4 linked regions of the Diceros bicornis minor genome follow. Each later gene encodes a partner of the first gene's protein in a complex. Links are inferred from orthologs where the notes say so. Each region holds a gene or a part of one and is shown in the gene's direction. Other genes may lie near its edges.

Region 1 (7,694 bases):
AGCCAGACCCCAGTCTGACGCCCACTTAGAACAGGGCATCATCAGTGCAAGAATTCCCTGGACCCCAGCCCTCCCAGGTGGGCACCAGTTTCTGTTTGGCCACGGTCAATGATGCGACGTTCATCACCTTCAGATACAGCCTGGCCCATTTCTGAGCAGCCTTGGCTGTTCAGAAGTTCTTTCTGGGACACTAGGATTAGTCTACTGCTGGTAGTGCCTTTCTCAGCTTGTCTCCTTCCACCTTCCACTCTGTATGGTTGCTAGCGCTGCCTTCCTAGGCCACATGGACCATTTTTCTCCATGACAGACCTTCAGGTATTTGAAAGCAGTAAGCCTGTCTCCTCTGGGTGGGCACTTGGCCAGCCTCAACATTCCAGGTCCCGAGGAGGGTGCTGCTTGGACACTGGAGGAGGCCTCCCTTCCCTGGCAAGTTCACTCCACAATGTCTCTTCTCCCTATGCAGTCAAGGCACTGGCACCTGGGAAGGGGGCCACCTGGGGCTAGGTTTCTATGTGTAATTTCCAGGCTGGTGTAGGGTGGGTGGCGGTCCGGGGCAGGCTTCAGAGCAACGGCCCTGGCTCCTGCACCTCACATGCTTCAAACTACTCCCCAGCCTCCCCCGTGTCTTCTCCACGAAGAGAGTTTCCCACAGCCGTCCCAGACAGGTCAGGGTGCCCAGCCTCATCAGAATATCAGTGCTAATTTTAGTCAGAACAGCCTACCTCAGGCTACTGCCCAGTTTTGCAAATTGCTTTTCTTTCTCCAGGGAACCAAAGAAGAAAGGGGATAGCTAGCCAGAGCTTTGAAAACTGGCCTGGACGCCCACCCACTCCCAAATGAACCCTTTTCTCTCTCTCCTCCAAGCTCTAGGGCTAATACTGGTGCCTTTAGAAGAGGAGGGTGCCCTGGCCTGGAACACCTGGACCTGACCGTTGGATGACCTGGAGACTCCATCCTTACTTGAGGATGGCACAGCCCAGTGATTAGGGAAACTGCCTAGGGCACTAGAGAGGAAAGGGACAAGGGCTGAGGGGGCTTCGAATTAGTGGCCTAGGAGATCAAATATCTTTCCACCTCCCTCTTTTTCTTCCCTTTTTCCCCCCAGCCGGCTCCAGGTCCCAACCAGCCCCCTCTCTCTGCCATCCACCGGGCCCGTCATTCCTGCCTCCGAATTCCCTTCATCCTCCTCTCTCCATCACTATCCCCCAAGCCCCCATTCCCTCAATTTTATTGCAACCTCTCCCAGGGATCCGGTCACCGGGGTCTGGTCACCATAGGAGATAGGCCAGATTCTCCCTCTCACCCCTCCCTCTCCCACTCCCCAGGGGACAGAGCGCCCCCAATCTCATGCTCTCCAGGCACTAGGCCCGCACGACACTCTCCCGCCCACCCCTCATCCCCCATCCCGATCTGGTCCACCCCCGCCCCAGGCCGGCCACTGCAGTACTCACGGCGCGCGGGCTCTGCCGGGGTGGTCGCCGGTCGCCGCTACCTCCGAACCCTTGTCCCGAAATCCGCTGCGGATGCGAGGGCGCCGGGGGCCCTGCGTGCCGAGTGCCGGTCGCTTTCCTCTCCGCGCCTGGATGGGATCAGGTGGCGGCGTCCGCTCGGCTCCGCTCCTCTCAGCTCTGCCCGCCGCCCGCCCCCCATCGCACACCGGAGGCGGGGCGGGGGCGGGGGCCCGGCCGCGCAGGAGGGGGAGGGAGAGGGGAGCGGGAAGAGGAGGGGGCAGCCTTGACTCGCAGACTGCCAGTTAACACTCTCCAGTGGCGTCTTCGGATGCAGGCATCTTCCCCGGGCAATCTTGCAGAGTCTGGATACCAATGTGACCAGCTCCTTGCCCTCACTCTACAGAAGGGGAAACTGAGGCCCAGAAGGTATCTGGGTACTGTGGCATTGCTAGGCGTTCCTGGGCTCGGCTGGTCAACCTTGGGCTGGCTGGTGGGTCCCAGAGGAGTTAGAGACACAGGTACATTTCCCAGCACCCACATGCTCCCTCCCTCCTCTCTTTCTCCTCTTTCAACCTCCAGCAGAGAAGCACAGCTCTGGCCCCTGGTCTGGTCCCATCTGCCCTCACACCCCTGGGAACCCCTTCCCTTCCAGCCCCTGAGGCAGCCCCCTGCTACTGACCCCCTCCTACTCTCCACCAGGACTCCAGACCCACTCACTTCCCACTAGAGCTTTAGTGGCCCTGGGACCCCTGCCCAGGCACCTTGTACTGGGAATCAGAGAACCCAAGTTCAACCCCGGTTGAACTTAAGTCCCAGAGTCAAGAGGCACCTCCCTGGGAAGGCTTCCAGCTCTAGAATGGGGAGCTGTTCTGAGACTGCAGAGAGGATACATGTGAAGGCTCTCTGTGAACTCCCATGTGTGTGGGGTGGTCCTGAATTTTCTACTGCCTTCTTAGCCCTTAGTTCCTACCACCTGGGAGCTGGGCAGGAGCACTTCCCAAAGTCACGCCAGACACCAAGAGCCCCGCATTTAGTTCTGGGGTTCTCATGGACCCCAGCTTTCTCCTGCCCTCTAGGCCTGGTATGACAAGGATCCTGGAGCTGGGGCAGCCACCCAAAGCTGCGACTGGAAGGGACTGGATTCCACTCCACAGCCACACAGGTAGGTATTGTGTGAGGGTCCTTGTTAAGGAGGAGAAAGGAATGGGGACTCTCAGAGTCAGGAGAACTGCTTGTGGTCCCAGTTTGACACCCTGGGCACGTCAGCTTCTCTCCGCCCCTCAGTCTTCTCCTATGCACAATGGGGGGGTCCTACCCTGCCTGGGTCCCAGGGCTTATGATAAAATGAGGCCCCACTTGGCCCATCCCTCCCTTTCTGGCCCTACTTACATTACGTCCTCACCCATCAGCTCTTAGTTTATCCTGCCTTAGAGACCCCCTTCCTGTTCCCCAGCACATACACATGCCTGGGGGCCTCCAGCCTCAGAGGAGCTGCCAGCAGCTCTCTGGTTACAGGGAGCAGAAAAACACTTCTTTTGGGTCAGGAATGGTTCTGCCTGAGTGGGCTGACCAGCTAGGGGGAGGGCACCATTCTTCTTTTGTCTGTCCGTTCTGGCTTTAGCTTCTCCTCTGAGAGTGTCAGGAGATTGGGATGGTGGCAGTGATGAAACAGGGAAAGGTCATGGTTTGGGGAGGAGTGAAGAGAATTTCCTAGCCAGGGCCGGGATGTGAGCAACAGTCCTGGCCCAGTCGTTTCCTCTGTCTCTCTTAAACCTCACCTTCCCTGGACCTGGCACCACATTTTCCCCCCCTGTTCCCAGTTACTCCTCTGTTGGGGGCAGTCAGTGAAATGGAGCATGCTGGAGAGAAGGTCTGAAGGGTGCGGGTGTGTGGGGAAAAAGAGACCACTTCACTTGAGTTTCCTGGCTCTGTTACCCGACACACACATACACACTCACACAGGCAGTGAACCTGGCTGTCAGTGAGAGGGCAGAGCTAGAATGGGAGAGGGACCTCAGAGCTAGTGGCAGAGGTGGGGAGAGAAACCGAATTGACAGGTTAGGGCAGGGAGAGGTGGAAGCTGGGCAGGCAAGGGCACCTGCCCATCCCTCCCTCAGGCGCACAGGCCACTGGTGCCGAGGAAGGGTGGACCCCACCTAGAGGCTGATGGGAACGAGGAAAGAAAATGTCCTGAGTTTATTTTCGAGACTAAAAGAGACGCAAATCCTGTCGCCAGAAAGACTGTTCCATTTGCTTTTTTTTCAGTAATCTTTTATTGAGCGCCTCTTGAACGCCAGGTGCTGCGCGACAGTAAAAAGACAAGATCTCTGCTCACGTTCTTGGGGATGGAAGAGGGGAGGAGGGGCAAGACTTCAAAGCAAATGGTGGAGGTTTGAACGTGTTATGGGAACTCCAAGGAAGAGAAGGAAAGCCGGAGAAGGCTGAGACGACATTTGAGCCAGCCTGGAAGGTGGGAAAAGGGGCTTTAGTGTGGCCCTTCCCCCAGGTTGGCAGCTGGAGCCCAGCCCGGGCGGCCCGCTCCTCTCCCGGCTCCGATCCCCTTTCAGCCCATTCAATCCTTGCCTGCGCCGGGGGTGGACGGGCAGACAATCAGACACTGTTTTATCACAGGCATCGGCTGCAACCTCCCGCCTGGCGCCCGCAATGCGCGGCCGCCGAGGGAATGAGTAGTTCGGGACTCCCCGGGGACGTAAGCGTCCGGACCTCTCACGCCTGACCAGGGAGTCGGGCCGGAAGGCTAGCGGTCTGCGCTCCGGCCGGTCCGACGCAGAAAGCACGCCCTCGGGGTGGGACCAGCTTTCCCCGCAGCCCCGCCCCCGCTCCGGCCCCCAGTGTTCCCGGGCTTGTGGGCGCGCACGGTTCTCCGGGAGTTGGGCGGGCAGAGGCCGTGACCTGCGTACTACAACTCCCAGAAGGCTTCGCGACCAGGCCGCCTAGGGACGGCTGCAGAACGCAGTGGGTGAGCCTCCATCCAAACGGCCTTCCAACCCGCGAGCGGACGTGGCGCACGGCGCCGCCGGAAGTCTCGGGACGTGTGCCTGCGGCTGGCCCGAGCTTCCGGGTTGGTCGCGCGCCTTCCTGCGGCTAAGATGGCGACCGAGCATCCTGAGCCTCCGAAAGGAGACTTGCAGCTGCCGCCGCCGCCGCCTCCTGGGCACTATGGCGCCTGGGCTGCCCAGGAGCTTCAGGCAAAATTGGCAGAGATCGGAGCTCCGATCCAGGGTGAGAAACACGGAGGTCAAGAGCCGGCAGCGTAGGCCTGCGGGGAAGCGGAGCCTGGTTACCCCGGAGACCCGGAGGCGGGGGGCGGAGGCCGGACGCTGGGGCCTGACTTGGGCCGGCTGGCCTGCTCGGCCTGACCTACCCTATTGATCCTGTGCTTTGCCCAGCAGGGAGTCGCGAGGAGCTGGTGGAGCGGCTGCAGACCTACACCCGTCAGGTCAGTGTTGGCAGCGGGACGTCAGGATAGGCCGAGCTTCTGGAGGAGACCTTCATGACCTCTCACGAAGAGCAGTCTTCGTTCTTTATGTACCTCAGCACGCCAAGTGGGGGCTTACTCTTTTTGCCTGTGCTTGCCTTTACCTGCTCTGTTGTAATCGCTTCTGTGCCTGTTCCCAGGTCCCTGCTCACGTCGAGTGCAAGAACAATGTGTCATTTGACTTGGAATTCCAGCACCTGTCTCATAGTAGACCCCCGGCAAATGTCTGCAGTAGAAAAATACTTTCTAGTTTATGGTCATATTTTTTTTCACAGCTCTTTGGGATTCCCATGCTACTGCCACTCATGGGATTACCCCTCTGTTCTGTACCTCTACCTTCTTCCCCAGTGCCCAGTCGGACCTCTGGCAGACAGGCACTGGGTAAATTTTGTTGAATGAATGGGAGCGAACGTGGTTTATTGGAACAGCTCCTCTTGGACCAACCTAGAGTCCTTTCTCTTTTGCAGACTGGCATCGTGCTGAATCGGCCGGTTCTGAGAGGCGAAGATGGGGACAAAGCTGCCCCCCCTCCCATGTCAGCGCAGGTGAGGAGGTTGTTCCACTTTATAAGATCCCTTTTGCTCAGGGTAGCCTTTTTTTTTACATGCAGTGTACTGTGGATGCAACTAGCAGATTGGGTAGGGGGGTACTGCGGTGATAGAATTGGGAGCTCTTCAGTTCTCTGGTGGTCCTGATCTTTGCCTCCTCCTCCAATGTCTGCTCCTCAAAATTCTACTTGTCATTTAAGATTCTGTTTAGTATTTGGAAGCCTGACTTGATCCTCCACCAGCTGGAAGTAATCACCCTCTTCTTTGCCCTCCCAGGGCACAGTTCCCATGTTATTCACTGAGACCTTAGAGCTCACTTCCTGATTTGATTTGATACCCTCTACATTTATTGAGTCATCAGGGCACACTGGCTCCCATTTATTTAAGTCCTCTCAACTTCCATGTTCTTTCTGATCCAGGATTTGACTCCTTTTCTCTAGAGCAGTGGCTCTGACGTGGGGTCCACTGACTTCTGTGTGGGAGATGAGGAGTCCCTAGATAGTCTTTAGAGGTCTCCTTGAATCTCCTGAAATTGTATGCCAAGTCTGTGTTCGTGGTATTGTTCTGGGGAGAGAGTCCATAGCTTTCGTTGGTTGGTGCCCCAAAGTTAGCATCCTCTTCTCTCGATACTGCTATCGAGTATTCTTTTCTTGAGTGCAAGAACTATGTATCATTTGACTTTGAATCTCAGCAGCTGTCTCATAGTAGATCCCCAACAAATGTCTGCAGTAGAGGGGCTGGCCCAGTGGTGCAAGCGGTTAAGTGCACGTGCTCTGCTGCAGTGGCCCGGGGTTCGCCGGTTCAGATCCCGGGCGCACACCAACGCACCGCTTGTCAAGCCATGCTGTGGCGGCGTCCTATATAAAGTGGAGGAAGATGGGCATGGATGTTAGCTCAAGGCCAGTCTTCCTCAGCAAAAAAAGAGGAGGATTGGCAGATGTGAGCTCAGGGCCGATCTTCCTCACCAAAAAAAAAGAACGGTCTGCAATAGATAAATACTTCCTAGTTTATGGTCATATTTTTTTCCACAGCTCTCTGGGATTCCCATGCCACCACCACCCATGGGACTCCCCCCTCTGCAACCTCCTCCACCACCCCCACCACCTCCACCAGGCCTTGGCCTTGGCTTTCCTATGGCCGTTGGACCCCGCCCTCCAAACTTAGGGCCCCCGCCTCCTCTCCGGGTGGGTGAGCCTGTGGCACTGTCAGAGGAGGAGCGCCTGAAGCTGGCGCAGCAGCAGGCAGCATTGCTGATGCAGCAAGAGGAGCGTGCCAAGCAGGTAGGCCAGGTGGCAGCCTGGGCCTGGGTCTCATCAGGGTCCTGAATGGGGAGTAGAGCCTCAGAGCTGGATCTTGGAGCCAAGCCTTCTGGGAAGGTCTGGACCACAGACTAGAACTTGGGCCCTAGGCTGGAGAAGGACCCCAGGAAGCAGAGTTGTGGCAGACTGCCCTGTGGGGTATTGGTGCTGGTATGAGCTTGTTTTCTTTTTTTAAGCAGGGAGATCATTCACTGAAGGAACATGAGCTCTTGGAGCAGCAGAAGCGGGTAATGCCCTTATCCTAACCTTTGACCCCATGGTCTAGTCTCTTGGCTGTCACTTCTAGTGCTTAGTGTCCAAAACAAGATGCACCATTCAGGTTTTCCATGGAGGTTACGTCATCCTCAACTGAGTTCCAGTATCTCCCAAATAATTCTCTCTTCCCTGTAGCTCAAGAGTTAGTAAACTATGGACTGCGGCCTGTTTTTGTATGGCCTGCGAGCTAGGAATGGATTCTATATATTTAAAGGACTCTTGGGGGGAAAAAAAAAAAAACTAAGTCTATACAGTAGTCCATACAACGGTCTATGAAGCCTAAAATATTTACTGTCTGGCCTGTTACAGAAAAAGTTTGCAGACCTCTGCTAGTCTTACATGGTATCATTTTAGGTACCTTAGAGAGGACTCTGGGCTAATTTAGTCATTTGTATCAGATTTAGATTAAACACGATAGATATAAGTTACAGAATGATACATAAGACATGCAGCCCCAGAGGTGGGTCGCATCGGTTGTTACCTGGTTGAGTTACTCAGGATTATTAGAAAATAATCATAAACAGCAACATACATGGAAATATTTATGAAGTACTGTCTTTGCCCAGATTGTGCTAGATCTTGGGTAGTAGATATAAGAAAAGAATTCATTGTTCCTTAGAAA
Region 2 (7,442 bases), on another chromosome or scaffold:
GACTCATAAAATGTGAAAGTTGAAAGGAATTATGGAGATCATTCAGCCTATTACTCCTATTTAACTGAAAATGAGCTAATAGAGGTCAGCTTGACAAAGGCTGCCCACAGTTAGCCACGTTTGTACTAGACCCCAACACCTGTTCTTACGCTACTACCCCACACTGTTCTTTCAGTCAATAATCCCTAAGGTCCTTTCCAAGCTCTCTAACAATAATAGCTAATATATGAATGCTTCCTATTTGCCATGTATTAACCTAAAAGCTTTACTTGTATTAACTAATTTAATTCCCTTTTTGACCACCCTAAGAGATAGGCAATTATCGTTGTCATTTTACAGATGAAGAAACTAAGACACGAGAGAGGCTAAGTAACTTGCTCAAGATTACAAAACTATCAATGATGGAGACAGGATTCAAATCCTATTTACAAACATTTTTTCTTCCTTTTCTAGATTATGAAATTCTTCCAAGCATGCCGTTGTCTTGCACATCATATCCTTCAAATCTCTAGAGCCTAGCACAGTGCAAAGCACATAGACATTTCTGTCTACTGAAATACTGAAGTACTTAATTTTACCCTACTTTAAACTACCAATTCAGCACATTTATTGATGTTTATATGTCAGGCACTTCATAAACCTCCTTCAATCCTTAAAGCAACTCTACAAAGTAAGTATCCCTGTTTTACAGGAATGAAGTAACTAGTACAAAACTCATAGCTAGAAAGAGACAAATCTTAGGCCATTCCAAGGGCCACACACACTTGCCACTAAACCACCCTTTTCAACACAGTTCCTGTCCTCAAACACTTCCTAGTTTGGTAGAGATAATGGTGACCAATTACAATGCAGTATGATCAGTGCTAAAACAGCAGCTAGGTTCAAAGTACTAAGAAAACAAGAGGAAAAGAAGGGCCTAGGGGAAGCAGGGAAGTTTAAAAGGTAACAACTGAGTGGGCCTTTAAGGATAAATGGAAGTCCTCTGGCAGAGAATACTGTTCTTTGACCTCATTAGAACCCTGATCTATTGACTTCTATTTTCTTCTAATCCATCAGCCCTCTCCTTTTACCTCAACTTTTCTCTCTTTCCAGCTTAGATTCCACAGTCTATCATTCAAACAACACCCTGAGTTCCCCCTAACTCTCTGTCATTACGGCTCACCTATCTGGCAGTACCCCCACCAGCTGCAGACACCAGGACCCATTCTAGCTAGGTTAAGCAGAAAAGGATTTATTGCCAGGTATCGGCTTACAAAACTACTGGAAGGGCTATAGGAAGTTCTGGTAGAACTTCCAGGAACAACTCCTAACCCAAAAAATAACACAGTCTTTGTCACAATCAAGAAAGTTATGGCTATCATTGCAGAAAGTCACTAAACCAGAAAGCTGCTGACTAAAGAAACTCACTGCCTCTACCATAATATTTGCCAGCAAAACTGGATGCCTCTCACACTCCTTCTCTCCACATTTAACTCAGTTCCAAATTCAATTCTCATCTTAGGTGCAAAGGAGCCAGGAAATAGTTTTTAGCACCCCAGACTTTTCTGTAAGAGAAGGCACATTAAAGGTGGGAATGTGTGTTGAGCAAGCCAAACCCACGGTCCTTGCCATATCTGCATATGTTTTCTCCATGTCTGCATTGAGCCTGATGTTGCTGGAAATAAAATATGATCCCCAACTTCATATGGGCCCATAACTCTGCACGACAATTCTACATCTCTCTGGTAAACCCATTCTCCCACACACTCTACAATGATTTTCAAATCTTCTGCAACCTTCTCAAATCTCTGACTTCCTCTCACTCTAAGTATATGATCCTATCTCCTACTTTACAGAGAAAATAAAAACCATGAGAAAGGAACTCATTTTACCAAAACCAAACATAAGAACAACCTATATCTACTGCCTTCACTTCCTTCTTCCTTTCTGTTAAATGGAGGACTGTCCATCTTCCCAAGGCTGCTCCCTCTAACTGTACTTTGCATCCCATCCATTCCCATGTTCTCAGAACACTATCAATGACCGAATTTGTCTCTTGTGTATTCAATTTCTCCATCGCCCTCTCAAGTGGATTCCTGGTGACCCCTCATCTCCTTCGGCTTCCACATCCTCTCCTCTCATTTACAATCATATGTATGAAAAACACTCTTTAGATTCACTGCCTCCGATCCCTTGCCTGAATCTTTGGCTTCTGGCCCCATCACACCAACAAAATAACTCTCGCTAAGGATACCATGAGCTCCACGATGATACAGCCAACACACATTCTTCAATTCTCGTGTTTTTTAAATTCCAGTTTCTGACACTGGCCATTTCCTTGTTTCTGAGACAACATTCCTCTGGTGCTCCTCTCTAGCTCTTTTTTCTCTTCTTCTCCTGTAGGTTCATCCTCCTGTTCTTGGACATTAAATGCTGGAACTACTCAAGCTTCTGACTTAGGGGATCTTACCCACACCTATCGCTCAATTATCACCTATATGCAAATTACTCCCAAATATATATCTCCAACAAAAATCTCTCTTCTGAGTTGCAAAGCCATATTTCAAATTGCCTCCTGAAGTCATGAATGACCTCTCCCTTCTCTACCAATGAAATAAATACTCTGTTGCATAAGCCAAAAACCTAAGAGTTATCTGTGATTCCTCTCTTTTCACTCCCTGAATCCAAGCCATCGCCAAGTCCTACTGACCCTACCTCCCATATATCTCTAGAATCTGTCCAATTCTCTGCAGTTTCACCAATACTTCAGTCTACACCGCCAACAACGCTCACTTAAAGGGTCTATCTGCATCTATCTCTCTTCAGATCTGTTCACACTACTGAGCCTGAGGGATTAAGTTACCTCCTCCACACACTCCCTCCCCCTCAAAAAACTACCCTCAGTGGTTTCCCATCAGTCTTCAAATAAAAGCTACAAAGTCCTGCAAGGTCTGCCCTCTACCGGCCTCCAGCTTCATCTTGGACCATACTTCCCTTCATTCTCTTTGCACTGGCCACACTGGCCTCTTTGTGCCTTTGAGGCATTTTCCTCCCATTTGCCACAGGGCCTCTGCACATGCTGTTCTATATGGAATATTCTGCCTTCCTCTCTTCACCCAACTAATTAGAATTCTTTCTTCAGGCATCAGTTCAGGCATCTTCTCCTCAGACAAGCCTTTCTGCTTATTTCAGGCCCTCATAACCTCAGGCACCTCTCCTAGACGGCACTTATTTCACATTTCTCAGGGAGATCATTGTTTAACATCTGTTTTCCCCACCAGACTCGAACCGCTGAAGTCAGGGATCACATATCCTCAATGCTTTGCCAAATAAATATCAATTGGACGATTAAGGAGAAGATCTATTTCACAGGTATAAGTCCAAATTTCTCAACAAGACTGCTCTGGAGAAGCAAGAGTCGGACTTTTCCTCCGTCCCTGTCTCTCTCAGGGACACAGAGCAGGCCCTAGGAGAGGCTGCAGAATCAGTGGCAGAAACAAGTCGGCCTCCTCACTCAGAGAGGATCCAGGCCGTTTCTCCCCGGGGGCCTCCGGCACCGGACTGGACACAGTAGCCGCCTGCTGAAGGAGTCCGGCGTCGAGGTGCCCAGGCAGCCGCAGCGACCCCCAAGGCTCTGCTCCAGCACAGAAAGGAAACCAGGCTACTACCCCCCAGAGCCAGGACCTTGGGGCCCGCCTCCGCCCCTCGCAATCAAAACTTCAGCTGAGAATGGGCAGGCTCAGACCATATCACCGAGGCGCCGCCTCCAGATTCCGCAGCCACCCACCCCGACATTCCTCCTACTTACTCTCCGTCAGCTGCAGGTCCCCCGGCCGCAGCATTGCGCGAAACGCCGCAACCCAGTCAGCGCGGTTCCACCCACAAGACACAGCGCGCCTAGGCGGGACTGCAGTTCCATCCACCAATCCTGGAATCGTACTCTCGTGACATCAGAGACAGCTAACCAATAACAGGAGACTATCCAGGGGGCGGTGCAGAGGGGAATATTGGAAGTCGATTGGTTCCTCCAAGCCGGAAGTTCTAGGGGAAGGACTAAGTCGGAGCCAATCGCGCGGTGCCTGAGGGTGTCGGCGCGGTCAGTGGCTGCGCTAAGGAGAGCGGTTGCCGCCATGATAGAACAGCAGAAGCGCAAGGGTCCAGAGTTGCCGCTGGTCCCGGTCAAGCGGCAGCGGCATGAGTTGCTGTTGGGAGCCGCGGGGTCGGGCCCCGGAGCGGGGCAGCAGCAGGCGGCGCCCGGAGCTTTGTTGCAAGCGGTGAGTGAAGTGGCAGGCGGCCTTCCGCCCTCGGCTCATCCTTCTCTCTCCTCGGAGCGTTGCGCCGGGTGATCTCGCGGCGGCCCTTTCTCCGCGCTGTGGGGGCGGAAGGAGACTCGGTATCTGGAGTTAAAGCCGAAAACGTTGTAAAAGCGGCCGACACCCTGCAGATGCTCCTCACGTTTCCCCGTTTGACGCCGGTTTTCGGCGTCTCGACCGCCCTGTGAGGTGGCGTTAGAATTAGAGTTAAGGATCTTGAGCTCAAAACCGGCGTTAGCATCCTAAATCTTCCAGGATCCGGCGTAAACATTCAGAAAAGTTTGTAGAATGGATGGAGGAAGGAAGGAAAGAAGGAAATGAGTGATACTGGATCGCTTTGGGACTTTGGGCAAGTTGCTTTTCCCTTTATTTCTGTGCACTAGTATTAACAACTGAATAATAGCTAACCTTCATTGAGCCCTTGTACCAAGTGCTTTATATGTGAAAACTCCTTTAACCTTGGTAACAGCTTAAGAGTTAGGAACCATTATTATCCCATTTTGTAGCTGGGAAAACAAACTCTTATCTAGTAAGTGATAGAAACAGATTTTAAGCCCAGAATCCATGCGCTTAACTGCATTTCTTGTAGGTTAGAGATAATGATCACATCTTTCCTTCCGTGCTGTTAGGCTCGGATGAAGAAATACATGTGTGTCCCCCCTCTCTCAACTCCTCAACCAGCCGGTCGGCAAATCCTGTTTGGTGTTGTCCTCAAAATATATACAGAATTGCTGTGGCCTCCATCACTAACTTGTGGTCTAAGCTATTATTATCTCATTATTATTATTATATACTATTATGTTGTTATCTGATTATTGCTGTAGAGTCCTAACTGGTATTCCTGTTTCTGCTATTATGTAATCAGTCTATTCTCAATCCAGCAGCCAGAGGAGTTCTTCTAAACTGGCAGATCATGTTACTCTCTGCTGAAAACTTTCAGTGGCTTTCCACTTCACTCCGAGTACAACTAGAATCCTTACAGTCTTTTGCCGGCTTTGCCTTTACGTCTCTGATCTACCAATTTTCCATTGCTCACCCTGCTCCAGTGACACTGGCTTCCGTGCTCCTGCCTCACAGCCTTTGCATTTGCTGCTCCCTCTACTTGAATACTCTTCTTCCAAATGTGTGCATGGTTTACACACATCTCCAAATTTTTGCTCACATATCCCTCTTTCAGTGAGGACTGTCCTTACCAGCGTATTTTAAATTGCAATACCTAGTACTCACTAACCCACATTGCTGCTTTTTCTGTTGTACCACCATCTGTAGGTTCTAGTTGTTCTCTCTGTCCCTCCCTCCTTCCCACTAGAACACAAACTCCATTGTTTATTTTGTTCACTGCTGTTTTCCCAGTGCCTAGAACAGTGCTTGGCACGTAGTATTTTTCTTAATAAATGAGTAAGCTGGAAATTACTGAAGAGATTTGGGGATTATTGATAGTGTACTTATTCTTCCACTGACAAGTAAGAATATCAGCCCAGGTTTCGGTGAATTGCCCAAGAGTAGGCTTATGTTGAGACCATAATCAAAACTACTTTCCCCAATAATCTGTACCTTGCAGGGTTGTTGGGAAGCTCAGTTCAATCATTCATTCTTTAATTGAACTAGAGACTGGGAAAACAGTGTTGAATGACCCAGGCAGGGGCCCTGCACTCACAGAGCTTCTTTTCTAGTAGGGAATAAAGACAAAATATGTAAACAAATACATAAGGAGGGTAATTTCAGGTAGTAATAAGTGCTGTGAGGGAATACAGTAGGGTTCATGGACTAGAGGGGCAGTGGGGCACTGCTTGAGTTTGAATGATCCAGGAAAGACTTTCTGAAGAGGAAACATTTGAAAGGAGCCAAACACAGGAAGATCTAGGGGAAGAGGATTCCTGTCAGGGGCAACAAAAGTGTAAAGATCCTGAGGCAGAAATGAGCTTAACATGTTTGAGCAATTAAAAGTTGGCTATGGGACAGGAGCAGAGTGAGGAAGGAGGAGTGTTAGTATAACAGGTAGACCCTGGAAACCTCAGCAGGAGAGTATCAAATTGGAGGTGTAAGTTATGTGAGAAGAGCTGTCATTCTCTAAATCAGAAGAAATTCGTTCACTCATTGTTTCCCTTGTCTTTTTCCTCCACCCACCCCCGCCTCCACAATTGTGCAGCCTCCTTGGTCTGTATGCAGTGACTACCCTGTACCTCTCTCTTTTGTGTAGGGCCCTCCAAGATGTTCCTCCCTTCAAGCCCCAATCATGCTTCTCTCAGGACATGAAGGGGAAGTGTACTGCTGCAAGTTTCACCCCAATGGATCCACCTTAGCATCTGCAGGATTTGACCGACTAATATGTAAGGCATAGTTTTTGAATCTGGAGTGATCGCTCTCTTCCCGATAGTGATTATTTTTAAAACCTTCAGTGCCACAGAAGGTATCAGTCTGAGTTGGTCACATGACAAACTACAGCTAACATGCTAAAATAGGATCAAGAAAATGCTGAATAATCTTGGGTGTAGAACTTGGGGGTCCATGTGGTAAATACAGAAGGAATTACGTTACTAGTTAGAAGGTGAGTTGCTGTAGTTTGAGACTATCTTCCTCATGGAGGCAAATCTTGAGCTGATTTTGCAAGATAAGAGATCCATGTTTAACAGGTTAATGGGAGTAATAGAGAACTTTTTCCCAAAGGTATGAGGCTCTCCTCCTGATCCACTTTCAGAATCTTAGCATATAGGAAGGAAGGAAGGGATCCTAAAGTGACAACTCGCTTGGATAATCTACCTATACATCATTAGGATCTGCTACCAAATTCTCAGCTACTAGTCGGGAATACCCGTTTTTGAGGAATAGGTAGAAAAAATCAGTTTGGGGAGTCATTAGGAAAAGCAAGAGAGAAGATAACAGAAACATCTGACTTTTTGCCTTCTGGCATCGTTTGCCACATTGTGAGATGAATTGAGTCCTTTGGCTCTGCTTATAACTCTGTACCTCAAGGTGGATGATATCTGTCTTCAGTGTTTTGATTTAGATGTTCTAGTTCTGTAATCCTTAAATTTACTGGTCGGCCGAGTATCTGGAAGGCTTAGGGATCTTTGCAGAACATCCTTGAATTACTGATATGCTTAATTTCATCAAACAAACTAGAAACAGTTTTATCAGCAGAAAAATAAC
Region 3 (8,060 bases), on another chromosome or scaffold:
GCTGCCTTGGGGGTTTCACCCTCTGGTAGCTGGTGTCAGAGCCAGCACTCTGTTCAAAGCTGGGCAGCCCTGTGTGTGCTGAGCCCTGGTCCCTCCCCACTCTGCGGAAGGGGCGCTTGTCCCTTGTGGATTTCTCAGCAGCAGAAAGTGCTTCCTTGCACTACAGCTCCTCCCTGCAATGCAGGGGCTGCTTGGGCAGTATTTAGGCCACGGCCACTCTGACCCCCACCAATCCAGGCTTGCCTGGGAAACCTCTCTTCCTCCAGCCTATTTCTACCCCCAAGCCTCCCTCATCTCAGAAAATAGCACCCCTACTGAGTGCATCTGGGCACTTCCTCGAATCCCCTTCCTTTACCCCCACGTGCAAGCAGTGAGTGATGCCAATCCTACATCCGGACCACACTGAGAATCCACCGCTTCTGTCCATTGACACTACTCCACACTCCACTATCTCCCCAGGCCACTGCCACAGCCTCCCTGAGGGGTCACCCTCTTCCCTCTGCCCAGCAAAACCTCGCCCACCCGTTCTGTATACGGCAGCCAGAGTGATCAGCTTTCTCCAGCATAAAGACTGGAACACTTCCCCAGCTCCGGCCCTGCGTGGTCTGTTTCCATCTCAGCTTCTCACCACCCAGAATGTGCCCCGTCCCCATACTTCCTCTTGATAAGATACCTCCCTCAGGTACCCAGCCAGGTGAGGTCCCCTGGTACACATTCTCAGAGCATCCTGTTCTTTTCCCTCCCAGCACACACCACACTGGCACTGAATCACTGAGAAATTATTTGCGGTTGGCAATTCATCTCCCTGCGAGCACATGGACTGTCTTTTGAGTTCACTGCAGTATGACCTGGACGCCTGGGCCAAGGGACCTGAGGGCCAGCCTGTGCCCACAGGTGCTGGGAAGCTCAGAGGCACCCAGGGGTGGTTCCTGAGAGCTGAGCAGGCCTCTCCGGCCTCCCAGAGGACTGGGCCCTGGCCTTACCTCTGCCCAGGTGCCTGCTCCTGGAGCTGGATGTCTGAGTGTGTCGAGCTCTTGGACTAGGCTTTGGGCTCTGGGGCTCAGGGTCAGAGGATCACCCAGGTGCCTGGCTTCCTGTATCCTGTGTGAGGGCTGGCCCCGAGCAGCTCTTCAGTCCCTGGGAACCAATGAAAGCAACAGTCAGTGACTGGACACTCAGAGAGGGCTCCCTGGGGGGCAGGCAGGAGTCTGTCCGGGAAGAAAGAGAGGGTGATCCAGGCTGGAGGAATGGGGTGGGAAAGGGCAGGTGGGATGGCCTGCATTGAGCCTGAGCACAGAGGGCACACTTCAACAGTGCTAGCTCTGACTGCAGGACCTACTGTGTGCCACTTCCTGAATCCACTTCCTTTATACAGATGAGAAAACTCAGGCTCTAGAAAGTTAAGGGGCTGGCCCAAGGTCACTGAGGGAGCTGGGATTCTTGAGTCCAACATTTATGCTCTGTATTCAAACTATGCTGCTTCTAGAGCAGCCCTGGCCAAAAGAAATATAACGCAAGCCACATATGGGATTTTAAATTTTCTACTAGTCACATTAAAAAAACTAAAAAGAAACCAGTAAACTAACTTTAACAATGTATTTTATTTAACCTACTATACTCAAAATATTATCACTTCAATATGAAATCAATACAAAATTATTAAGGAGATTTTCTTTCTTTTTGGGTGAGGAAGATGAGCCCTGAGCTAACATCCAATGCCAATCCTCCTCTTTTTTGCTGAGGAAGATCGGCCCTGGGCTAACATCTGTGCCCATCTTCCTCTACTTGATGTAGGACGCCGCCACAGCATGGCTTGACAAGCAGTGCGTCAGTGCATGCCCGGGATCCAAACCCGCCATTCCCGGGGCCAGCGAAGCGGAGCGCACACACTTAACCTCTGTGCCACCGGGTCAGCCCCAAGAAGATTTTCTTTTCTTTTTTTTTTTTTTGTGAGGAAGATCAGCCCTGAGCTAACATCCATGCTAATCCTCCTCATTTTTTGCTGAGGAAGACCGGCTCTGAGCTAACATCTATTGCCAATCCTCCTCCTTTTTTTCCCCAAAGCCCCAGTAGATAGTTGTATGTCATAGTTGCACATCCTTCTAGTTGCTGTATGTGGGACGCAGCCTCAGCATGGCCAGACAAGCGGTGCGCCAGTGCACGCCCAGGATCCAAACCCGGGCCGCCAACAGCGGAGCGCGCGCACTTAACCGCTAAGCCACGGCCCCCAAGGAGATTTTCTTACAGTCTTTTTTTGCATTAAGTCTCAAATCCAGTGTCTATTTGACACAACACATCTCAATTTGGACCAGCCACCATTTTCAAATGCACCACCACATAGGCTGGTGGTTACCAGACTAGACAGTGCAGGTGTAGAGGCTCAGATCTCATGTGTTCATTCAGCAAACAGTGACTGAGTACCTACTACGTGCTGGGCACCATGGCAAGAATAGGGCCAGAGGGGCCAGCCCGCTGGCGTAGCAGTTACGTTTGTGCATTCTGCTTCAGTGGCCTGGGGTTCGTGGGTTTGAATCCCAGGCACAGACATACGCACCGCTTATCAAGCCATGTTGTGGCAGGCGTCCCACATATAAAAAAGTAGAGGAAGATGGGCATGGATGTTAGCCCAGGGCCAATCTTCCTCGGAAAAAAGAGGAGGATTGGCAACAGATGTTAGCTCAGGGCTAATCTTCCTCATAAAAAAAAAAAAAAGAATAGGGACAGAGCAAGGCACACAGAGCCCTATCTGCCAGGAACCACCATCTATGTCTGAGGGTCTCTGGAGTGGACAAGTCTTGAGTGTGTCAGCTCTGTCAGTTCCACCCACAGGGCGATGAGTAGCCGTCCCACAACACTCAAATACACACACAAACACACCCAGGCCCACATCCCGCACACATATGGTGCCTTGGTGACTGCCTCTCATGAGATATTGCCACCTGTGAGATTTTATGTCCCCAAGGAATGAGGCAGAAGCAAACAAAAAAAAAACAACAGACTGAAACATTCCAGTTTCCTTCCTGGAATGGGAGGAAGGAAATAAATAAAGAAAGCAAGAAACTCCACCCTGGGAGAAGGTGTATTCAAGTGGCACCCGGACCTCAAGCGCTTGCTTGCAAAGACACCAAGAAACATTGACCTGTTCCTCAAATAACTATGGCCATCTAGGGCCATCTGAGATGCCAACTCCTGTTAGATTCCAGTTCTGAGAGGCAGCAGCAAATGCCAAAGAATCAAGAATATACAAGAGGAAAACACAGCATTGAAAAATATCCAAGGTTACCTTATGTCATTTCTTATGAACTTTGGGGATTTGCAGATATAAGCATGGTTTGAGAACCACTTAGGTGTGTGTCAAGTGAAGGAGCATTTGACACAGCTTTCTCTGTAATTCCTGGGTCTTGAGTGGAACCCTCAGCCTGAAGCTGCCAGCCCTGCACTGGTCCCGAGCTCACACAGGCAATGGCCCTAACTGAGCCAACACTGCCTGAGGTAGGAACAGCAGCTAACTCTGCCTCTCCTCAGTTCCCTCAAGCTCAAGGTGGACTTTTGATTCACAGAGAAGGTAAGGAATCTTTCCTCCACTCCTGTTCAACATTCAAGCCCCTTCCCTTTCTGAGCCCTAAGACCTACCTCTCTGGTAAAGATTATGCCCACCTCCCGGCCAGTGTGCTGAGATTCCAGGTGACCACCATGAAAACACTTTGGAAACTCTAAAACCATCAATATGGTAGTTGTCAGTCTCTGATTCAGGATTGCTAATTGCCTGGATCCCTGGGGACAGTGAAGGGACTGACTGAAGACAAAGGAATAAGTAACTGCACAAGTAGAGGAGTAAGAATGGCCTGGGTTTGGATTCCCACTCCACCAACTCCAAACTTCACTATCCTCAACCGTAAATAAGTTGCTGTAAGAAATAAATGACGTAATGCACGTAGTCTTTGGACAGGGTCTGGCTCACGGTAAACGTTCAATAAATCCTAGCTATCATTATTATTCTACATTAATAATAACAACAATGACATAAACCAGCTATGGTGTGTGTGTGTGTCTAAGAGAGAGAGAAACAGGTAGGAGTCACAGGAGGCCATTTTTTTCCTATCATCCCCCCATTTCACAGGTGAGGAAATTGAAGTCCAGGCAAGGCCCGCATTCCGGAGTTGGGAGGGAGGGGAGAAGGGACAGAGAGAAGAGGATATCAGGAGGGGAAGTGAAAAAGGTGGGATTCGAGGTGGGCCAGGGGAAGCGGAGGAAGTGGTCTGCAGAAGCACCTGTGGGAGTGAGGGGTGGAGCCTCAAGAAGCAGCCCTGATTTGAGATGGTCCATGAGGCTTGAGGGCGGGACTATGGACGGCAGGAGGTGGAACCCAGAAAAGGCGCGCCCACAGGAAAAGGGACCAGTGGAAATTAGGGATTCTGACTCCGGAAAGGAACCTGGGGGAGGTGGGCATGAACCAGAAGAGAGGGTTTAAGAAGTAGGGAGGTGGGGCTTTGAGGAGGCGGGCCCGAGGGGGCTCTCCAAAGAGAGGCCAATGGGAGGGAGCGGGGGCCTTAGAAGGCGGGGTCGGAGGGAGCTAGGAACCCACCCGAGGAGTAAAGGAGAGGGGGCGCGTGCGGGGGGCGTCTGCCATGTGGAACATCTCACCAGTCTCCGGCGTCACAGCCTCAGCCCCTGTGTCTGGTGGGCTCATGGAACTGCTCTCGGCGCGCCCGCCGCGCCTGGGATCTCCCACAAACCAGAGCCGGGCGCCCCGACCGCTGCCATGGCAACGGCGTCTCGCGCGGGCCGCCTCATGCGCGGAAGGGGCGGAAGTGACGCCACGGAATAGGGGCGGGACCGGAAGTGCGTCAGCCTCGCCTCCTCGGCTACGACTCGTTCGGTCGCCGCCATCTTGCGAGCTTGTCGTACTGTTGGTGAGGGGAAACTCTTTTGACGGAGCACCGCTCACCTACACCGAGGCGGACTGGCAGCCCTGAGCGTCGCAGTCATGCCGGCCGGACCCGTGCAGGCGGTGCCCCCGCCGCCGCCGGTGGCCACCGAGCCCAAACAGGTACCGCGTCCCCCGCACCTCTACCGGCAGCCCGAGCCTAGGCCTGGGCCCTCCCTCTGGCGCGGGCGCTCCTCACTTTTGCAGGAAGGCTGAGGAGGGCTTAGAGGGACTGCAAGTCCCAGGAGGCAGCGCGCTTCCTACGCTGCTTTCCGGTAGCGCAACGAGCTCACTACAACAGTGGTTCTCAAAGTGTGGTCCGCGGACCAGCAGCATCAGCATCACCTGGGAGCTTAGTAGAATTACAAAGTCTACACCCCAGACCTTCTAAATAGGAATCTGCATTTTAACAAGATTCCAGGGTGATTCATTCGAGTTTGAGAAGCACCGATCCGGCCCATCCACCGGTCTTCTGTTGCATTTGGGTTGCCGGCCCCCAGCCTTTGCCCAGTAATCTCTATAATTTCCCAGCCTGCAGGGTACATCTTTTAACGTTAATTTGCAGCATCTGTTCGGTGCTTACTCTAAGCCAGACTCGGTGCCAGGCTCCGACGTTACCGGAGTGAATGAGGTACAATTTCTGCCTTAGAGAGCTCACCGACTAGTGGGAAGCTATACGTGAATACTCAACAAATGTTTATTGCCCCGCCAGTGTAAATGATACAGTTCCAGCCAGTCCTTAAAAAGATCTCAAACAGGTGAGGAGGAAAGATGTGCATAAATAATTGCGTTATGGTGTGATTGTCTCTATAATAGAAGTATCAGGTTCGAGTAAGACAGTAATCTAATCAACGTGGCTTTGATGAGATAGAGTGGAGATTAAGGTGGGTGAAGCTCACAGGAGTGAGGTAAATTGATTTTAGGAGGATGCATAAGAGTTCACCAGGTAGGTGGTTGGGGAAGGGAAATAGCATTCTTTAATCATTCATCAAACATTTATTGAGCACATATTGTATACTAACCACTGCTTAGAGTTCAGAATACAGTGGGGAACATGACAGAAGAGGTCCGTCCCCTTTCCACAAACATGTAAGTGCCCATGTGTCCTGGCGTTTTCCCAGTCACTGGGGAAAAATAAACAAGGTAATACCAAATAATAATGCAAAGATACCAAGATAGGAATCAGATGGCCCCTCTGGTCATGGGTAAATAAACAGGTGTGGTTGAAGCACAGCATTGGATAACTGGTGGCAGGAGATGGGATTCTCAGAATTTGAACTTTGCCTAGTAGACAACGGGGAGAAAATGAAGGATATTAAGCTGGATAGTGACATTGTGTTTCAGAAATTCAGCTAGGTAGGCAGTGATGTGGAGAATTGCTAGGAGGACTGAGGATTAGTCACTTTATTAAAAAAAAAATGCTGAGGATGGGTGATGAGGCAGAGGGTCTGAGCAAGTTCGTTTCACAAAATGGCTCATAGTACAGGCTCTCCAGCCAAAGTGATGTTGGAAATTTGGTTCTGTCATTGAGGGCAGTTAAGCTCTCCATTCCTCAGTTTTGTCATCTGTAAAATGAGGATAATAAGAGGACTGACTTACCTTCTGGGGTTCTCACGAGGGTTATAAGAGTTAATATATTTAAATTGCTTAGGGGGCCGGCCCCATGGCTTAGCGGTTAAGTGCGCGCGCTCCGCTGCTGGCGGCCCGGGTTCGGATCCCGGGCGCGCACTGGCGCACCGCTTCTCTGGCCATGCTGAGGCTGCGTCCCACATACATCAACTAGAAGGATGTGCAGCTATGACATACAACTATCCACTGAGGCTTTGGGGGAAAATAAATAAATAAAATCTTTAAAAAATAATAATAAAGTGCTTAGGAAAGCATATGGTACCTATTCTGTGCTTGACAAATGTTATTATCATTGAATGTAGAGGCTGAGGAAGGGAGAGGAGGCCCAAGTTTCTGGCCTGGGTGACCAGGTACATGGTTGGCCATTCATCAGGAAAGAGGTTAGAGATAACAGTGCTCAGGAGTCAACTGGGTCTGGCTGGATAAAGCTCTGGGATGTCAATTTGGATGGGATTAGAGGTGGTACGGGAAATGGAGGATGTGGTTGTGAGTGCATCACTGAGGACAGTGTGAATACTATGAAGAGAACCAAGAACAGAATTCTGGGGGTGCTCGATGTTATAGGGCAGGAAGTGAAGGAAAGGAGCCAGGCAGGAAACTTGGAACGTATGGTGAGCAAGAAGGAAAGACAGGTGAGAATAGGGTGTGGGAGTTGAGGAGTGGAGAACTTTGTGAAGGAGTGGTCACTGGTCACAGAGCCAGATCACCACTGTAGTCAGTTTTTGACTTTGGCAAGAGCACTTGAAATGGATGAGGACCAAATGGGAAGTGAGGAAGTGGGAATGGCAAGACTGGGAGAACTCAGGGTGTTTAGCTCCGGGGCTGGGGGGGAAAGGGGGGAGGGAGAAGGCAGCAGCAGAAAAGAACGTGAGGGCAGGGGAGAAACTTGATTTTTCTTTCTTTTTTTTTGTGACGAAGATCGGCCTTGAGCTAACATCCATGCCAATCCTCCTCTTTTTGCTGAGGAAGACTGGCCCTGAGCTAACATCTATTGCCAGTCTTCCTCCTTTTTTTTCCCTTTTTCTCCCCAAAGCCCCAGTAGATAGTTGTATGTCACCGTTGCACATCCTTCTAGTTGCTATATGTGGAACGCGGCCTCAGTATGGCCGGACAAGCGGTGCATTGGTGCGCGCCGGGGATCTGAACCCCGGGCCGCCAGTAGCGGAGCATGTGCACTTAACCGCTAAGCCATAGGGCCAGCCCGAAACTTTATTTCTCTTAAGATGAGAGATTTGACCCTTCGTTTGCTAAGGAGAAGAAGCTAGTGAGGAAAGAATATTGATACTTATGGGACAATTAACGTTGAGTATTCCAGTGGAATTTCACAAAACATTTGAGCGTTGAGTGTGGTTCAGACTATGGAAGGGATGCAGAAGGAAAGGACATTCAAGGCAGAAGGAGCTGCCAGCAAGGAGTTTCCTGTTTCTTTATTTAGCAAACAATTGTTAAATATCCTGTGCTAGGCACATCCTGGGGTATGGGGATACAGACATGGCCTTCTGGA
Region 4 (8,245 bases), on another chromosome or scaffold:
CCGGAAGCTGGAGTATGGAGGCCAGACGTGGCACGAGCACTGCTTCCTGTGCAGCGGCTGTGAGCAGCCGCTGGGGTCCCGTTCCTTTGTGCCCGACAAGGGCGCTCACTACTGCGTGCCCTGCTATGAGAACAAGTTTGCTCCTCGCTGCGCCCGCTGCAGCAAGGTGGGGGCGGGGCCCGCAGGGTGGGGGTGCTGATCGCCACCTCACTCAGAGGTGGAGGCGAGCAAGGCTCTGTTGTGGGGCGGGAATCCCCACTCCCCACTACTGACAGATGCTGCCCCCACAGACGCTGACACAGGGTGGTGTGACATACCGTGACCAGCCCTGGCATCGAGAATGCCTGGTCTGCACTGGGTGCCAGACACCCCTGGCAGGGCAGCAGTTCACCTCCCGGGATGATGATCCCTACTGCGTGGCCTGTTTTGGAGAACTCTTTGCACCCAAGTGCAGCAGCTGCAAGCGCCCCATCACAGGTGGGACAAGGGTCCAAGGACTGAGTGGGTGGGGGCAAGCAAGGAAGTGGCATCTGGTATTGGGTGAGGCTGAGGGGCAGGACTGCCCTCTAGATCTGCAGAGCTAACCTCCAGCCTCCCTCCAGGACTCGGCGGAGGCAAGTATGTGTCCTTTGAAGACCGCCACTGGCACCACAGCTGCTTCTCCTGCGCCCGCTGCTCCACCTCTCTGGTGGGCCAGGGCTTCGTGCCCGACGGAGACCAAGTGCTATGCCAGGGCTGCAGCCAGGCGGGGCCCTGAGTCTGGGCCCCAGGCCCTCCCAAACCAGGGCTCCAGGACTAAGGCTCCTTTTCCAAACCATCTCTGGGATCCAGCCCCTCCCCAAATTGGGGCTCCCCCTGGGCTCCAGGATTCAGCCTCCCTACTCCAACATCCCCCAAACTGGTACTCCCTGACCCAGGGCCCCCAAACCTGGGCTCCTCTGGAGCCTCTGTGATTCAAATCCCCTCCCCAAGCCTGGACTCCAGGACTCAGCCCTCTCCTCTACAGTCTGGGTTCCCAGACCAAACCCCCTCCCCAAATCAGGGCTCTAGACCCCCAGCCCTCCAAACCTGGACTCTGGGACCCAGGCCCCCTTCAATCTAGACTTCTCTCCCAAGACTGTAGGTCTCCTATGGGTGCCTGAGCAGTCCTGCAAGGTGGACTATCCTCAGGCTTGACCCTCCCCACCCCATCCCACCTCTGTCCCCAGGGCTGGGGCTGTCTGGGCAGCAGAATGGGTTCACTGGTTAGGGGGCCCTAGGGTACAGGGTTTTGCCCAGCCCGTGTCCTATGAGTGTTTTCTGATTTCATTTCAGTTTCATCTTGCCCGGAGATGGGCAGAGGGGTGGGATCGGCTCACCCCCTTCCAGATTCTGCAATAAAGCAGTGTGAGGAAGTGAAGGCCTGTATGTGTGTGTTTGCGGATGGAGGGGGAAGGAAGGTTTCTTCGCAGACGGAGGGACTCTGAGGATCGTGGGAAATCTCGCCCGAGAAAGGGGATCTCCACTGCTGTCACTGTCCCTCTCACGCTAAGCCTACCTTCCCCCTGCTGGCGGAGGGCGTTTTCCTCCATATGGGGAAGGGAGGGGTTTGAGAGAGGCTCTGGACCGGAGCGGGGGTGGCGGTGGGTTCCCAGGTCTGGTACAAATCGCCCCCCTCCCCTAACAGCCCTTCCCAAATCCCGCAGAGCACCGGGTGCGGATGCCCAGCCTGGACCCAGACCCTCGGCCCCCTTCCCCCTCTTCCCGAGGATTAGCGGAGGCGGCCCGGGATCCGCTCGAGGCCGCACGTTTTTTGCCAAAAAAGGCAAGGATGCAGCTGCACGCGCCGCGGGAACATCTGGATCCGATTCCCGGCATGAATGGGTCATGGCCCCGCCCCCCCGTGATTCAAGGGCGGAGGCGGGAATGAGCGAGGGGGGCTGCCCCCCAAAGTGGGGAGATGGGGCGGAGCGCTGCTCCCCTCACCCAGCGTCCCATGCCCCCTGCCCCTGCCCCCTCCGGGGCCTGCGGTCTGGGCTCCGCGGCGGAACCGCCGGAGTCCGCTCGTGCGCACACTCGGTACGCGCGGGCTCCTGCGCTCACCGTCCCGCCCGCAGCCTCCGGGGGTGGGGGCCCGCGCCTCGGGGTGGGCGGACCCTCGCGCCCTGGGCAGGAGGGGCCCTCGGGCCCGGGGCAACCGCGTGATTGTCTGTATCTCATTTTCAATACTCCCAGAAATCCAACGGGGCGGGCATTTTTCCATTTCACGGAGGTGGAGACTCGTCAGTTCCCCAACGTCACATAGGTAGTCACTGGTAGCTCTGGGATTCTAATCCGCTTCACACTGCTTTCCCTAATTCCAATTCTAAACTTTCTGAGGCCCTGGTTGACATTTCCAACAAACCTTTACGAATACCCACCGTGTGTGTTTATGATTAATAATTAGACATTCCACATTTTTGTCTCTTTCTCCCATCAGCCACTTGGAGGATTGGGCTCGCGCCTGCCTTGCTCACCCCTCCATCCTCAGGTCCCGGCACTTACTACATGTTCAATAAATACTTGTTGAGGAGGAGGAGTCCAAGCATAGAAAACAGCTGGCGCAAAGGCCTGGGGGCCTGAAAAACCATATGGTGCTTTGGGGAAGCAGCAAGTAATTTCACTTGGAGGAAGTGCCAAGAGGCTAAATGGCAGGCAGAGCCCAGGTCAGGAAGAGCCGAATGCCAAGTTAAACAGACCTCACTCTGCGGGTGAAGCAGCCAGTGGAAATGTTTAAGCAGGGGTGAGATGATCACTCTGGCTGCAGCATGAATAATGGATTGGAGGGTAAGATGAGCAGGCTGGTTCCGAGGCTAGTGCAGTGGTCAAAGTGAGAGATGATGAGGCAGGTGGCAGCAGGAGCGGAAAAGACAGGACTTCGTGACTGGTTTGATGGAGTGGGGAAGGAAGGCATCAAGTAAGTGGTGTTGCTTAGGTGGTCCATCTACCTAAGAGGAAGAAATTTGCAGGTACAAAACCTTGGCATTGATTTCAAGATAAACGTTTTTTAGATTTCACATCTCAGAAACCTAGAAGCATTGTATCATCATATAATTGTATAATCATTATATAACCGACACAATTTGACAATTTTTTTTTTTCTTTCTTAGTGGAACATGGTGGGGTTAACATTTGGCATCTGGTATTCGATGAAATACAGTAGATCCCAAACCTTACCAAAAAAAAAAAAAGGTTCATCTCTTCATCTCTCTGATCCTGAATGGAGATCTCTTACTTTTTTTTCCTCGTGGTGCAGGAAAAGCCTGTGGTGAGGAGTTATGCCTGGAGTCCTCTCCCTAAGGTTGTTCAAATTTTTAGACATAAAATACCCTTACAACACCCCATGAGCAAGCAAGACAAGAGTCATTATCCCTATGTTATTTTTAAAATTAAAAAACAATGTATGCTTATTGTAGAAAAATTGGAGAATTCTAAAAAGTAAAGGGAACAAAAGATAAATCACTAACAACTCCTTGATATATTATAGCCTCCTAGTTCTTTTTTGTTAAGGTTCATGTGCATATATGTATTTTCATTTTTAGTTTTAAGTTTATTTTGCAATTGAAAAAGTAATACATGTACATGTTAAGAAAAAAACTTTTCATGCTCTCCTTTGGGTATATACAAAGAAAAATTTCCCTCCTGTACCAGATCTTCCAGGCTATCTCCTCATAAACAACCCCTGTTTACTGTTAGTTGGCTATCCTTACAGAAATAATCTGTTTGTGCATCTATTTTTATACACACTGTTGTGCGTCTAGCTTTTTTCACTTTGTGTGGCCATCTTTCCCTATGAGTTCATACAGATTTTTTTAACAGCTTTATTGAGGTATAAGTTACATACCATAAAATTCACCCATTCACAGTGTACAATTCAATTAATTTTAGCAAATTTAATACAGTTGTGCAACTATTGTCACAATCCAATTTTAGAACATTTCTGTCACCCACAAAAAGATTTCTTGTGCGCATTTGCAGTCACTTCCGTTCTCACCTCCAGCCACAGGCCACCACTCATCTACTTTCTGTCTCTATTGATTTGCCTTTCTGCACATTTCATCTGGACCTACAGAATATGGTCTTTTGTGTATGGCTTCTTCCACTTAGCATGACGTTTTCATGGTTCATCCACATTGTAGCATTCCTTTATTGCTGAATAATATTCCATTGTATGGATAGACCACATTTTGCTTATCCATCCACCAGTGAATGGATTTGGGGGTTGCGTTCTGTTTTTGTTGATGATGAATAACGGCGCTATGAACATCTGAACATACGGACACACGTTTTCATTTTGCCATCTAGAAGTGGACATATAGACTTGCTTCATTCTTTTTTTTTTTACGGCTGTATAGCATTTCACTACTTTGATGTACCATATTTTATTTAATCAGTCCCCTGCTGTTAGACAACTAGGTTGTTTCTGCATGTGAATTACTTTAAAAAAAAAAAAACAGGGGCCGGCCCGGTGGCGCAAGCGGTTAAGTGCGCGCGCTCCGCTGCGGCGGCCCGGGGTTCGCTGGTTCGGATCCCGGGCGCGCACCGACGCACTGCTTGGTAAGCCATGCTGTGGCGGCGTCCCATATAAAGTGGAGGAAGATAGGCACAGATGTTAGCCCAGGGCCGTCTTCCTCAGCAAAAAAAAGAGGAGGATTGGCGGATGTTAGCTCAGGGCTGATCTCCTCACAAAAAAAAAAAAAAAAAAAAAAAAACCCTATCATCCCCATTTTACTGACAACGACACTGAGATCCGGAGAAGGGAAAAACGCTGTCAGAGTTCACACACAGTAAGGGTCTCAAGTTCCGGTCCCCCAACTCCCATCCATGCTTTTCCACTACTCTTCAGTCCACAGTGGCCCTGCCTGCTTGGCCAGGAAGCCCCGGGAAGCCGGCACTTCGCCTCAGGTTCCGGGATTTCTGTATGCCCCCTAGAGGCACCTGCAAACCGCTCGGCGTCGCGCCACCACACCTCCGGCCAGCAGGGGGCACTGCTGCCATCTCGATAGCCCAGACTGGCTCTCCTTTCGGTGCTCACTTTTCCTCGAGTCCCCGAGGCACTTCCGGTACCCGCGGAACTTCAGTGCGGCCGGACGCACAGCGTGGGGACGCGGGCGCGCGAGGCGGCAGGAGTTGCTTCCGGCCGTGTAGGTGGTCTGAATAGAGGTCCGGGGGCCCAGGGAAGATGGAGACGATTCTTGAGCAGCAACGGCGATATCACGAAGAGAAGGAACGGCTCATGGACGTCATGGCGAAAGAGATGCTCACGAAGAAGTCCACGGTGAGTGGGGCCTGGGCGGGGGCTCCCTCTGAGGCCGGGCCCATCCCGGGTTGACCCTCTGACCCTCCCCGCGCCCCTCCCCGGCCCCTCCCCGAGCCCCCGCCTTGGTCCCCTCCTCCCGGGACCCAGCCCTCCGAGCAACGGCGCCGTGTCCCCGTTTGCCTCTGCAGCTCCGGGACCAGATCAATTCGGACCACCGCACCCGGGCCATGCAGGACGTGAGTACCCCCGCCGACCGCGTCGGGCTGGGCGGGATGCGCGGGAAAGGCGGGGAGGCGGGTGCGGCCGCTCAGCGGGAGCCCTGGCCAGACGTAACCGGACTGGCCAGTCGCGGGTTGTCGGCCTGGAGATGTCCACGCGGCGCCCAGTCCCGAGGGTGCCTAACTGCCCTTCCTCGCGTCTCTGAACGGGCGACTCGTACTCTTCTCCGTTACTCGGAGGGACGCCCCTTCTTACAGTATCCTGTGTCCCATGGATGTCTAGGGAATAGTTATTAGAAGTCAGTGACTGGGGCCCAGAAAGTACTACCTCTTTTGCCCGGAAGAGAATGCTGTCCGTTAGTGTTTTCCTCCCAGAACACTGATTTGAAGTATTTGTGCCTACCAAACTGCTTTTACCTGGTAATAGTTTAATTTCTTACTTTTAGAAAACTGATAAATCAGAATGTTGGTACTTATTAAAGTTAAGTGATAGGTAAATGGAGGTTTATATACTATGTTGTCTGCTCTTGTATATGTTTGAGATGTCTTTAGAAAGAAATAAAAGACCTCATCAGAGTTTCTGATTTGCAGGAGATAGTCAGTCTTACGAGCCCCTAGTTCCTTATCTAAATTCCCAAATCCAAAATACTCTGAAAACAAAGGGGGTTGTGAGGGAGTAATTACTTGGTGGCAGAATCTCACTTGATCTCATTTGGCAGCAAAACCTGACCTGAACAGATGAGAGGCTTTTGTGGTCTTTATCTCACTTAGTAAATATTAGGTGAGTTTCACTGCAGAACTATTAATATGTGTTCCAGATTCCACTAGGGATATTACATAATATATAATACCTTTCTGAATTTAAAAATTCCAAATTCTGAAACAAATCTGGTCCCAAAAGCTTTGGAGAAGGGGCTATGTACCTGTACCATCCTGAGTTTGAATCCAAAGGAAGTTTATTTAGCCTGTACATTCTTCAGTCAAACTTTTTGAAGTAGTGAAAATCATCTTCGACCACCCTTTTATCTTTGAGGGTCTTAGGTGGGAATTGCTGTTTAGCAAAGGGTGACTGTCTTATATGGCTCTCTTTGATGACTCTTCTAGAGAAAGTTAATCATCAGTAACATGTAAATATAGGAACTCGATGCCACCCCTCAAATCACATCACTTAGGTAATCTTCAAATTGGCCTGTTTTAAAAACTAATCAGGAACCAGTGCTGTCTGTTAAAGGTACTAGAAAGCACAGGAACTCTTTTTTTTTTTTTTTGAATATTTATTCTGGTTTTTTCCCCAAGAGTTTGCTTTTATTTATTTATTTTTTTTGTGTGAGGAAGATCAGCCCTGAGCTAACATCCATGCCAATCCTCCTGTCTTTTTTGCTGAGGAAGACTGGCCCTGGGCTAACATCTTCCTCTACTTTATATGGGATGCCACCACAGCATAGCCTGACAAGCAGTGCGTCAGTGCACGCCCCGTATCCAAACCCGGGCTGCCAGCAGTGGAGCGCACGCACTTCACCACCACGCCATGGGGCCAGCCCTCTGCACGGGAACTTTTAATACCACATTTCCCCAGGTTTCCCTGGGCTCTGACTAGAGAGTCCTTGTTGGTGGCTTAGCTCTGTGGTTGTACAGATTGCTTCATTCTGATGGGTTTCTGTTTGCCTTTCAGAGGTATATGGAAGTCAGTGGGAACCTGAGGGATTTGTATGATGATAAGGATGGGTAAGTGACAGTCACAGCCAATGCAGGAGTTAGTGCTTTTGAGGAGCCATGGTTAAAGGACTGACTTTGTGCTCTATGTTCTTTGGATTTTTCCTGCAATTGCAGGTTACGAAAGGAGGAGCTCAGTGCCATTTCAGGACCCAATGAATTTGCTGAATTCTATAATAGACTCAAGCAAATAAAGGAATTCCACCGGAAGCACCCAAATGAGGTATGGCCTCAGAAAGTGTTTTCTCCAAACCTGCCTGAATAGCATAGTAAAGGAAAATGGAGACGTGCTGCTCAGATGTCCCATCAGAAATGAACTTGCCATTTAGCTGCAGGGAGCATCATTAGCTGACATCCTGCAGCTCCAGTGCGTTCATGATCCCCCTCCGCTTTAAGCCAAGGCCATTCTCTTCCTGGGCCACCCCCAGCCAGTGACTTGAGCACAGTGGGGGTACTATGGCCTGGCTGGTTCTGCCCAGTGCAAGACTCTTCTAGTGAGTAGTCTATTCCAGAGCTCCCCGTTGGATTGGTCAAGATTTTGTCCTGTCTGCGTCATGACCTAGGCTCTCCCTGCCCAATTTTCCTCTCTCCTTTTTATCTTTCATGAGTATTACCCTCCAATAAACTGCCTGTGAATGTAACTCTGTCTCGAAATTTGCTACCTAGAGGACCCAATTAACACAAAGGGCTTAACTCACTTCCAGGGATCATTACACCTTCAAGACTCAGCCCAGAGGCCAACGCTTCCATGAAATATCTTTACTAGTCTACCCCTCCCAATTAAGCTTTCTTTTCTTTATGGTCCTCTCGTATTTTATGACGATGAATGTCTGCACCACTATATTGTAAGATTATAAGGAGCAGGGATTATGTCTCAATTATCTAGAACTGATTAAGCATCTTGCACGGCTGACCAAAGGAATTCTAGGTGCAGGGGGAGAATTAGAGAGAGAGTCCGCCATTACTCTGAGCTTTCATGACTGTGTAGCTGGGAAGTTCTTTGTTCCCTTCATAGAAACAGGAAAGAGGTAACCTG

What was found.
Region 2: SF3B2 (region 1) and SNRNP40 share a complex: the UniProt entries of both Homo sapiens proteins name them as parts of the minor spliceosome. The link is inferred for Diceros bicornis minor from reciprocal best matches to the Homo sapiens genes SF3B2 and SNRNP40.
Region 3: SF3B2 (region 1) and SF3A1 share a complex: the UniProt entries of both Homo sapiens proteins name them as parts of the 17S U2 SnRNP complex. The link is inferred for Diceros bicornis minor from reciprocal best matches to the Homo sapiens genes SF3B2 and SF3A1.
Region 4: SF3B2 (region 1) and SF3A3 share a complex: the UniProt entries of both Homo sapiens proteins name them as parts of the 17S U2 SnRNP complex. The link is inferred for Diceros bicornis minor from reciprocal best matches to the Homo sapiens genes SF3B2 and SF3A3.

The regions. Positions count from the first base shown.
Region 1 is NC_080770.1:7,248,897-7,256,590, reverse strand, and holds the start of SF3B2 (splicing factor 3B subunit 2), read left to right. Parts: upstream 1-4,543; 5' UTR 4,544-4,561; coding exon 4,562-4,694; intron 4,695-4,861; coding exon 4,862-4,911; intron 4,912-5,417; coding exon 5,418-5,495; intron 5,496-6,529; coding exon 6,530-6,778; intron 6,779-6,993; coding exon 6,994-7,044; intron 7,045-7,694. UniProt on the Homo sapiens protein: Component of the 17S U2 SnRNP complex of the spliceosome, a large ribonucleoprotein complex that removes introns from transcribed pre-mRNAs.
Region 2 is NC_080752.1:46,266,531-46,273,972, reverse strand, and holds the start of SNRNP40 (U5 small nuclear ribonucleoprotein 40 kDa protein), read left to right. Parts: upstream 1-4,094; 5' UTR 4,095-4,109; coding exon 4,110-4,253; intron 4,254-6,492; coding exon 6,493-6,622; intron 6,623-7,442. UniProt on the Homo sapiens protein: Required for pre-mRNA splicing as component of the activated spliceosome. Component of the U5 small nuclear ribonucleoprotein (snRNP) complex and the U4/U6-U5 tri-snRNP complex, building blocks of the spliceosome.
Region 3 is NC_080774.1:23,863,461-23,871,520, reverse strand, and holds the start of SF3A1 (splicing factor 3A subunit 1), read left to right. Parts: upstream 1-4,903; 5' UTR 4,904-4,987; coding exon 4,988-5,050; intron 5,051-8,060. UniProt on the Homo sapiens protein: Component of the 17S U2 SnRNP complex of the spliceosome, a large ribonucleoprotein complex that removes introns from transcribed pre-mRNAs.
Region 4 is NC_080752.1:51,927,813-51,936,057, reverse strand, and holds the start of SF3A3 (splicing factor 3A subunit 3), read left to right. Parts: upstream 1-5,125; 5' UTR 5,126-5,200; coding exon 5,201-5,296; intron 5,297-5,466; coding exon 5,467-5,514; intron 5,515-7,168; coding exon 7,169-7,221; intron 7,222-7,326; coding exon 7,327-7,432; intron 7,433-8,245. Other genes in the region: FHL3 (four and a half LIM domains protein 3), read left to right, coding at 1-166, 291-477, 603-757. UniProt on the Homo sapiens protein: Component of the 17S U2 SnRNP complex of the spliceosome, a large ribonucleoprotein complex that removes introns from transcribed pre-mRNAs.